Cricetulus griseus: one gene and its partner. Each later gene encodes a partner of the first gene's protein in a complex. Links are inferred from orthologs where the notes say so. Each region holds a gene or a part of one and is shown on either strand. Other genes may lie near its edges.

What was found.
Region 2: the proteins of Spindoc (region 1) and Spin1 are in contact, whole or in part, in a crystal structure (PDB 7CNA), measured with the Homo sapiens proteins. The link is inferred for Cricetulus griseus from reciprocal best matches to the Homo sapiens genes SPINDOC and SPIN1. Residues at the interface, in NP_612480.1 of Homo sapiens: Phe256, Ala258, Pro259, Ala260, Val262, His264, Phe265, Thr266, Asp267, Ser269, Phe270, Pro271, Gly273, Phe274, Val275, Leu276, Gln277, Leu278, Phe279, Ser280; in NP_006708.2 of Homo sapiens: Met154, Thr169, Tyr170, Glu171, Pro174, Pro206, Val209, Val210, Leu213, Lys216, Gln217, Val218, Glu219, Tyr220, Thr229, Val232, Val242, Tyr243, Ile245, Phe247, Asp249, Asp250, Tyr254, Val255, Tyr256, Asp257, Leu258, Val259, Lys260, Thr261.

What each region holds. Positions count from the first base shown.
Region 1 is NC_048596.1:52,069,973-52,075,114, reverse strand, and holds the start of Spindoc (spindlin interactor and repressor of chromatin-binding protein), read right to left. Parts: upstream 3,263-5,142; 5' UTR 3,025-3,262; coding exon 2,895-3,024; intron 1-2,894. UniProt on the Homo sapiens protein: Chromatin protein that stabilizes SPIN1 and enhances its association with histone H3 trimethylated at both 'Lys-4' and 'Lys-9' (H3K4me3K9me3).
Region 2 is NC_048596.1:270,012,611-270,017,834, forward strand, and holds the start of Spin1 (spindlin-1), read left to right. Parts: upstream 1-2,089; 5' UTR 2,090-2,250; intron 2,251-2,543; exon of another isoform or gene 2,544-5,224. UniProt on the Homo sapiens protein: Chromatin reader that specifically recognizes and binds histone H3 both trimethylated at 'Lys-4' and 'Lys-9' (H3K4me3K9me3) and is involved in piRNA-mediated retrotransposon silencing during spermatogenesis.

The DNA.
Region 1 (5,142 bases):
TATATGTTTCTCTTATTGGTTAATGAGTAAAACACTGTTTGGCTAGTGGCCAGGCAGGAAGGATAGGTGGGGCTACCAGACTAGGAGAATTCTGGGAGAGGTAGGCAGAGGGAGCTTGCCAAAAACAGATGACATGTAGTGGCCAAAGGAGAAAAAGGTCTGGGCATTCTTCGGTAAACCAAGACCACATGGAAATACTTCAATTTATAGAAATGGATTAATAATTAAGACAGGCCAGGCATTGGTGGCATAAGCCTTTAATCTCAACACTCGGGAGGCAGAGGCAGGCAGATCTCTATGAGTTCGAGGCCAGCCTGGTCTACAGAGTTCCAGGACAACCTCCAAAGCAATGCAGAGAAACCCTGTCTCAAACAAACAAACAACAACAAAAAATTAAGACAGAGATAGCCAATAGAAGCCCTAAGCACTGGCCAACAGTTTAATAATATAGCAAGCCTCTGTGTGTTCATTTGGGGTTGGGAAGGCACAGCAACACTTGTCTTCTGCCTTCCAAGCTCTGGGATTAAAGGTATATGCTAAGTCCCACAAACAGGTTGCCTTGGTCATGATGTTTGTCACAAAAGAAAAGCAACTAAGACAAAAACAAAACAAAAAAATCCCTTTTCTTTCTTCTTTAAAACACTAACTATAGCTCCAGATGGCCTGCAACTCACTAGATAGACTAGGATGACCTGAAACTCAGAAGTCTTCCTACCTCTGCCAAATTAGTGACAGAATTAAAGGTGTGTGCCACCATGCTGAGCCCAAAGAACAAAGCTTTGAATTCATCTACTTTCTCATGCCTCAGATCTTTCTAGAACCTTGTGCCAGCCTCTAGAATCTTTGTACTTGCTCTCCTAAGACCTCTTCCATCAATTCTTTTGTTATTTTGTTTTCCAAGACAGTTTCTTTGTATAGTGCTGGGATTAAAGGTGTGTGCCGCCATTGCCCCATCCTTACTAGAGACACTTTTCCTAACCACTCAATACAAACAAAATTCTTACTACACCCCCACTTCTCTATTTCACCTTTGTGTTCCCTAAACAACTGATTGCTGGGCCAAGGAGATGGATGGGTTGGTAAAAGCTCATGCTGCCAAACCTGATGAGCCCAATTTCATTCTCACATGGTGGTGCACACCTTTGATCCCAGCACTCAAGGCAGAGGCAGGCAGATCTCTGTGAGTTCAAGGCCAGCTTGATCTACAGAGCAAGTTCCAATACAGTCTCCAAAGCTACAGAGAAACCCTGTCTCAAAATAACAAACAAACAAAAAGGAGTCCTGACCTCTTCCTGTATGTTATGACACACAAAATAAAAAAGAAGTCATTGCCATCGAACACACTGTAGTTCAATTTTGTGGTGATATTTTGATTATCTAACAAAGCTTGCCTGAAGATCATCTTGCAAAGCTAGCCACACTAGTCAGCCACAGAAGCTGGATGGTGGTGGTGCACACCTTTAATCCCAGCACTAGAGAGGAATAGAAGGCAGTAGGGGCAGGAGTGTGGTGTATTCAGTCTTCAGTCGCCTGAGGCCAGGATGGACCCTTTTGGTCTTAGCCTTGGTAGAGGTTAAGAACTTTCTAGTGGCTTTGGTGATTTGCTTCTCTAATCTTTCAGTTTTCCCCAATAATATCTATCTCTGGGTTGTTATTATTCGTGCTACACAATTAACCTGTTGGCTGTCACTGTGATATACGTTCAAAGCAGGGTTTCATTTACCCTGCTCACCGCTGTTACCATTCCCCCAAACTTCCCCCTGCACCTGAAACAATGCTTGGCATATAATTGCCCAATAAATATAGTTGAATGAATGAACCTCTGTAGATGTCTATTTCCTTTTAACCGTGATGAGGCCACCCTGGCAGAGCTGTTGAGTGGATTAACTTCGAGCATTTGACAATAGCAGAGCAAGCACTCCATAAACCAGCACAAGCAGAAAATAACCTGTGTGATGCAAACACTGAGAGGAATGTGGCCTTTATTTCTAACCCTCCCATCTCCAAAAGGGAGAAGGAGCGCAGACATCCCTGAAGTTCAAGAAGCACAGCAAACGCCTTAGTACTTAATTTCTTTTGGGTACTGTCTTGTTTAAGGGAAACAGGTAGTCCACCATAAGGAAATATTTGCATTTTCATGACTAATAGTCTTCCACAAAGGTAGCTCTTTGTTTTCTCCTTTGGACCAAAGAAAGGAAGAAGGGGAGGGGAAAGCCAGTATTTCCAGATTGTCCCTCAAATACCTCCTTTGGCGACTAATCTCCATGTAGATGGCTTAGTACCACCCCCCAAACAAGTCCCGCTTTTCTCAAACCGGGTGCTGCTTGCAGTTCCATTCAACGGCCAGGTTCTAGAACTGACACCTGTGGCTCCTTCGAGAGAAGGCCTGGGGATGGGGGTAGGACGGGTTCTACTTGGCAGGGCTCTTCAAATTCTCTTCCCGGGAGATTACCAGTCCCGATAGCTTTCACCCCCGTTAACGCCACGGCGATCAGAGTGGGGCCTAGAGGCCTGGTCGCCCCTCGGCCTAGGACACAGTCAGGCCGAAACCGGGAGACGGCGGCAACGCACAAACCACGGTCCTGGGAATCCGGCCTCTACGCTGGGCCCAGGGGGCGCAGGGAACCGGAAGACCCGAAGCGCTCATTCGGTGTGGATGGAAGTCTCCAGACCCTGAGCGGGGGAGGGGTGGCGGAGGGAGGGGGCTCCGAGAGGCCTGGGATTCCAAACCCCGGTGGGGGAGGAGCGCGGGAGCGCGCCCGCCGTGGACCCGACCAGGAAGGACCCGCCGGGGCTACCGCCGCTGGCCCGGACCGTGCCTGGGGACCGGAGATCTGGAACAGGGGGCCGAGCCCCTGGCCGCCATGCGGAAGTGAGATCCCCCTCCTCCTTACCTCGGAGCATCGGCTCGGGCCGCGGGATCACGGCAACCACCACTGCCTCCTCGTCGTCCTCCCCTTCCTCACACTTGAGCGTCACCTCAAAGCAGTCGAGCGCCGCGGCGCCCTCTGTTCTCAGGGCCATGGCGAGGCGGAGAAGGGCGACCCGATAGCGGAGGACGGGCGCGCAGGCCTCGGCGCGCCGCCACTGGCGGCCGCCTCCCGCCCCGGACCACGCAGGGCCCGCGGACCGTCTAGCTCACCCGCCGCCCGCCCGCCCGCCCGGCCGGCCAGCCACGGGTTTCAGCGCGTCACGACCCCAGGCGGGGAGGGCTCGATCCGGGGCCCCCGACCCCGCCGCTCCCTTTTATGGAGGCTCATTGTCAGCGTCCGTCCGGCAGCCCCGCCTTCTGGCCCGGCTGACCAATCACGCGAGAGCCTACTTCCAGCCCCGCCCCAGGCACGCGTCTGGGCCAGAACCCCGGGCTTCGCGGAGTCTCTGGCTGCTTTATGTAGCGGAGAAGCCCCGAGTCGGCGTGGGAGGGGCGTCCGCAGCCTTGGAGACCCAGCAGGGCAGCCCCACCTGCCGCTGGCAGGGAGAGAGAGTGCGCCGCGGGGAAGCTCGGCATTTTGCTTTTTGGTTTTCCGTCGACTAGCATCCCGACGGAAAAAGAGCGGCGCGGGTGTGGGAAGGACCTAGGCTCAGAATCGAGACGAAAGCATCTCTTCTAATTTGCTTTGCGCCTTGTTTCTTTTTACTAGTTTATACACTCGCAAAAAAAAAAAACAAAATCATTTTGGATCCTCCTAAACAAAGATTCTAGATAAAGAGGACTGGTGTGGCGTGTGGGCCTGTGTAAACCTCTTCCCGGTGGATATCATTTCCGTTTTTTAAAAACGTGAGTCCAGCCTATGTGGCCTTTTCCCAGGACACAACAAATCCCTTGAGAACCTCCAAGACCGGGATGCGGTTGCCATGGCGCCGCTGCCTGGCATTCGTGCCCTGGGTGGAGGCTGTTACAATGGGCGCTTACTCTTCTATGGAACACCTCATCCCTTCCCCCTCCCCCCACCTCCCCCCACACACTGGATTTCAGCTGAAGAACAGCAAAAATGTCTGGCACTAAAAATTCTGATTTAAAATGCTACTAAATCAGCCCAGAATCAGTAATAATAATTCGTGATGATCTAGAAGGCTAAGGAACAGAAGAAAAGAAGTAAACTGTGTTCTTAACAGTGTTTTGTGTGTGTGTATCTTGGGCATGCCCAGCATTCCACCACTGTATCACCAGCCTTCATTTTGTTGAGAAAGTAACTTGCTTTGTAGTCTGTCTGACCTGGAACTTGTGTAACCCTAGTTGCCCTGGAACTCTTCCTCTTCCCTGTTTTCCAACTGCTAGGATTAAAGCATCCTAGCTGGGTGGTGGTGCATGCCATTAATCCCAGCATTTGGGAGGCAGACACAGGCCGATCTCTGAGTTGGAGACCAGCCTGGTCTACAGAGTGAGTTCTAGGACAGCCAGGGCTGTTACACAGAGAAACCCTGTATCGAAACACCGATAAAAAAATAGTAATAAGATAAAGGTGTGTGCTGCAACCACATACTGATGGCTACAATATAAGGAATTAAGGAAAGTTTCGTTACTTTGATGTGTATCCAGTACTTGACAACATTCCAAATGAAGCTATTTCCTATCTAAAGGCTGTTCTTTGCTTTTTGCCCAAGCACCAGGTCCCCTGGGTGTTCTGGGGTCTGCTTTGCAGAGGGCTGACTGAAGGCAGGAGGCTTCAGGCCTGGACTGGGTATTGGGAGATAGCATTGGGGTCTGGAAAGTAAGAAAAAAAGAAAGCCTAGTTACTTCTGCCTCCCTCCCTTCCTCCTCAGTTCTTTCTTCTGCTAATGGAGCAGCTGATGATGCTGTGGTTCCAGCCCTTTTGTGAATTCATGGTTTACTTCGCTGTCACCTGTGGGGCTTCCAGGCCTTCTATCACCCCTGTCACTTGGGTCACCACAAAATTTTCCCTGTGGTTCCTATTTCTTTTTTGAAAGCTAAGCTATAGGATGGCCTTGAGGGGGAAAGTCCTTCTTGTGTTTCTTTTATTGGTTAATGAATAAAACACTGTTGGCCAATGGGGAAGCAAGTTAGGCGCGGGACTAGGAGGATTCTGGGAAATGTAGGAAAGAAAGAGAGTCGCCGTGTGATCCTGGGAAGGTAGGTTGCTATGGCCGGGGTCCTTGGTAAAATAAGTCCTTATAAAAATA
Region 2 (5,224 bases), about 220 Mb from region 1:
TGTAGACAAGTGGCCTTGGAGGATGCTTTTAGTCAAACATGCTTAAAAGTCTGGAATGGTGAGCTCTCAGTGAGCTGGAACAGCACGTGACAATGACCATGCCCACCGGCTTGTAGCTGGGTGCTGAGGATCTGAACTCTGATCTTCACACTGGCGCAGCAAGGGCTTTAGCCACTGAACCATCTCACTAACTGTCTAAATGTTTGATGTTTGGTGTAACTCCTTAAAAGTGAATAAAAAGAATTTAACCCCACCCTATCCCCAATGCCTGCTATTTTCAGAGGTTCTATGGTCTAACACCCACAGGTGACTGAGTATTCCCAGGAATTCCCACAGTCCTCTGTGACAAATAGGGTTGATTCCCAACTACTGTCTAGGGAGTAGCCTGGCATTGAAATAGATTTGATCCCTGCCCTTTGGCCTTTATCATGGGGTGAAGGCCCAGGAAATAGAAAAGCAAACAAACCAACACTGGCATAACTGATGGGATCAGTGCCGTCCAATACAGGTGAGAGAAGTGGGGAGGATGATCCAATCCCGAGCCAGCGTCTCTGAGGAAAACACTTAGACACATTGATTGGTGCACTTGTGCAGAAAGTAACCTGAAGGGTGGTGGCCCTATACCAGGGGACACAGGAAGCCAGCGAGGTGGCAGGAATGGCTGACCGTGCTATCACTGTGTCCATCTTAGAGTTCTCCACTCAGTAAACATTCCCCACCACCGTGAAATGTTCACAGAACACAGCATAGACATTCTTGAACATGCACACTAAGCATCCCCTCCTGGGGATGGTGCCTCCAGATCTCTTGTGGTTCCCTTGACATGTCTGGTCAGGATGTGGAAGGGCTGTGGCTCTCTTTACTCAGCAGTGATGTTGGGAGGTGTCTTAGGGTTTCTATTGCTGTGAAGAGACACTGTGACAATGGTGACTCTTATATAGGGAAACATTTAATTGGGGCTGGCTTATAGTTCAGAGGTTTAGTCCTTTATTGTCATGGCGGGAAACATGGTGGCAGCAGGCAGACATGGTGCTGGAGAAGCTGGGAGTTCTACATCTTGATCTGCAGGCAGCAGCAAATGAATTGAGTCACTAGGCCTGGCTTGAACTTCTGAGACCTCAAAGCCCACCCCCGTGACACACCAAGGCCACACCTCCTAAGGGTGTCATTCCTAGTGACCAAGCATTCAACCATATAAGTCTATGGGGGACATTCCTATTCACCACAGGAACGAAGCCTGGAGGGGTTGGCAACTGTATCTTGTGCCTGCAGGATCTCTAGTTGCCAGATATTAAGCTATGACAGAAAATGACTGTGTTGGGCTGGGGATATAGCTCAGGGTGGGGACTACATGCATGAAACCTTGGGTTCACTCCAGCACCGCATACACCAGGTGTGGCAGAACACACCTGTAATCCAGCTCCACCATAGCACAAACCATGCTAGCAAGAACACTGGGGCGGTAAGCTCACTTGGTTTTTATTCTAAGGCAGGTGGAGGTTGTGTCTTTTTCCTATAGGCTGGGGTCTGATCTCACAGTCTTTCATGACTGGCTAGCTTTAAAAGAATTAGCACAAAGGATATGAAGGAAATGGGTGAGACCATTAATTTCCAGGAATATAGCAGACCTAAAACAAGTTTTACAAGATGGGAAATTTATGGAATTTTGGCCTTCATGATTCTCTAGGTTCTCAGCAAGCAGGGGCAAGAGGAGGCTCCATTTTCTTCCCATGGCCCCTCATTATTATTATTATATCTTGCCTCTATAGGACACGCCTGGGGATCAATTTTTAAAATTAAGGAATCCATCTACAGGTCCTAACTGGTCTTCAGTAGTCATCGATGAACCCTTTAATTACCCAGTTTTTGCCCCCTTTGATTGGAAATGTGGATCAAGATCAACTGAGTAGCAGAGACTTTCTTCCAAATCAACTTTCCAGCGTTGGGATGACAGGCTGGTGAAGGGAGGACTATCTACATCTTTCCGGAAACGGATGGAGATCTCCCTAGCACGCAGAACCTGTTCTCTTCTCTCCTTATAGTTCCTTCCTTGCAGTCGTGACAATCGATGACTATCGTGGCTTTGGAGGTTTGTGTCTGCCTGCAGATGGAGTTATAATGAAGTTAGAAGTTGTATGACGTCACCCTGGCAGCCATCTTAGACTGACACTACTTCCCGACAGCCTACTTGAAGGACTTTGGGCTCACGTGTATCCTGTTCTCAAGGACATCCAAGCTCAGGGCTGGTTGGTGAGTCTTGGGGATGGGACTCTGAGCATGTCCCTGGGGGCATTATCTTAACCGAGGAGAGGAGAGCTGCTCTCTGTGGGTGGAACCATTTCTTGGTTGGATCATTGCACTCTTATTTCTGACTGGGACTAAAAGTTTCAGGTTCCTTCCACTGACTTCCCCATCTTGATGGAACTCTACCTCAAACTGTGAACTGAAACAAACCCTCCTTTCTTAAGCTGCTTTTGTTGGAGTATTTTATCACAGCAACAGAAAATTAAGTAAGGCAGCTGGGGGACACCCAGGGTTAACACCTTCTCTCAGCAGAGCTTTCATCTGGATAGTGGAGACATGGCAGAGGACAGACACAAGGGTGCTTACAGGAGAAGACCTGGAAGACTGAGGAAATAGAGGCTGTTAATCCCACCAGATGCGAATAAGATCACTACCACAATTCCTGAGCCAAATTTGAAGCAGGCTTTATTACATATTGTCCAGGACAATGAATACTGGCCAGGTCCATATCCAGGACTCCCAGAGAATGGCACTGTTTTATAGATCTCTTAAGCACAGTAATTTAAACCTAAAACACAACTTTAGTTATCACAAGGCCTTGGGCACACATCCTAATCTCCTCCAGCCTCCTATGACACCAAGTGTGACAGGTAGCTGGAGAGGATCCTGCTAGGGCTGGCTACGCCCAATTATGTCTGATCCCAACTTTCTTCCACTGAGGCCTTCTGAGCTTTTTGATCACCTAGACAGGTTATGGTGGCCCAATGACTTCCACACAGAACCCACCGTGCTTGTATAATGAGTGTTAGAGAAACCCTGAGTTGCTTTGGGGAAGCGGCTCAGTTGACAGAGATTACCTGGCATTCACGATGTCCTGGGACGCATCCCCAGTAGTGAATACACTTGGTGTGGTGCTGTACACCTGTGACCCCAAATCTTTGAGGATAGAAGCATCTGCAATGGAAGTTCAAGGTCTGCGTTGGTTACGTAAGGAGTTAGAGGCACAGCCTTGGACTGTGAGACTGTCAGAAAAAGCAATCAAGCAAGCAGCCTATGAGAAGAGGTTCTAGATCCAAGCACTGTTCTGAACCAAACATGTCTGGCCCTACCATATGTCCAGGTTATACTTGTGGCTAGAGAAAAGGCAATGTCATACAGAAAATACCTTAGTGATTCAGAATCCATGTTTGCCTTATAGAGCTTGCTGTGCTCAGTCAGTCAGCTGCAATCTGTGGAAGCTCAGCTGGGGAGTAGCTGACATTCGCTTGCAAACAGGGCATACTCACGTTAGGTTACACCTTGTTCACATGTCAAGCGAGGTGCAGTTGACAATTCTGGAGGCTGCTTTAAGTCAAACTTTCCTTATCCTTAGTATAGAGGTGGGTATAGGCCAAGCCTAGTTTAGCAAGAGCATATTGGTTGTGGCTCTAAGAATGCTGTTCCTAGTGACCTATACAGGCTCAACAGAACTGTCTCTGTTCTTGGGAGACCACTGTGATGCCACAATTCTCTAGTGAGAGGGGCTTGTGAATCTATAGTTGCTGGTGCCAGTCGTGGAGCTAGCAGGAACTCCTGTAAGTCATCCTGTAACTGAGAATACTTGTCAGCTGGTGAAACAGACTAGAACTGCTGCCAGCCGCCCAAGGAGTTCACTTATCCTTACGAGGCCCCTCAGGAATGTAAAGCAGGATCCTTGACTTCACTGCAGAAAAGAATTTTAAGATGAGCCAGTAGGAAGCAAAATCAGAGCTTATTCGATTTTATATATAACATTTTAAATTTTATGTTATTTGGGTCCGTGTGAATGGCACAGTGCAGGTGTGGTGGTCAGATGACAACACTAGGAAGCTGTTTTTCTCTTTTCAACATGTAGGTTCCAGATCAAACTCAGGCTGCCTCCACCTCCTGAGTGCTGGTATTAAAGGGGTGTGCCACCACTCCCCACAAAACGTCCAATTTGAGTTGGATGTGGTGGTATATGCTTGTCATTCCAGCTCTTGGGAGGTGGAGGCAGGTGGATGAGGAAGGGGTTTAAGATGGCCAAGATGGCTACATAAAAAAAAGTTCAGGCCAGCCTGGGCTATACAAGACCTTGTTTCAAAAAAACAAACACAAACAAACAAACAAGCAAACAAGCAAAGCCTGTCCCCAGATCCCATTTAGGCATTCACCTCTCTAGGATGTGGCTTATATACTTTTGACAGTTTGCTGGAGACAATCAGCAGAGGTGAGTTTTTAAACCAGGGCTTGGGAAGACAGAGAAGGTTAGGCTTGGAGGATTTGGTTGACCAGTATTGAGGGGGAGCATCTGCCAGTGGCCGCAGGTGGGTAGAAGCCATGGATGCTGCCAAACACCCTACAGAGCACAGGGGAATCATCCTTAAAACCCAGTCATCCAGCCAGGCATTGGAGAGGCTTACACAGGAATATCTTAAGTTAAAGGCCTGCCTGGTTTACCTAACACATTCTAGGTCAGCTAGACAGTGAGACCTTGCTTCAAGCAAAACAACCCAAAACTCTATTCCTCCCAATCACCAGGTCACAAGTGTCAACACTGCCAGGCAGATGTGATGTCTATTCTTGGTTGCCAACTTGACTACATCTGGAACTAACTGAAACCCCAAAAAATTGCTGGGGACACCCATGAGGGGTTCTTGCTTAATTAAATCATTTCAGATCTCTGAGGTGAGAAGATACAACTTTAATCTGGATCTTTTGAGGGAGGAAGATAAACCTTTAATCTGTGGCACACCTGCTGGCAGCCTATTTAAAGGACATGGAAGAAGGAAGCTTGCTGTCTTTGCCTGCTTGTTCTTGCTTCCACTAGCAAGTCCAGTGCTTCACTGACATTAGATTCCAGTGTACGCTGAAGACCAGCTGAGACATGCAGCCTTGTGAACTGAGCAACTACTGGACTGTTAGACTAGCTGGACCACAGTCTGCAAGCTATTCTAGTAAAACACTCTCTCTCTCTCTCTCT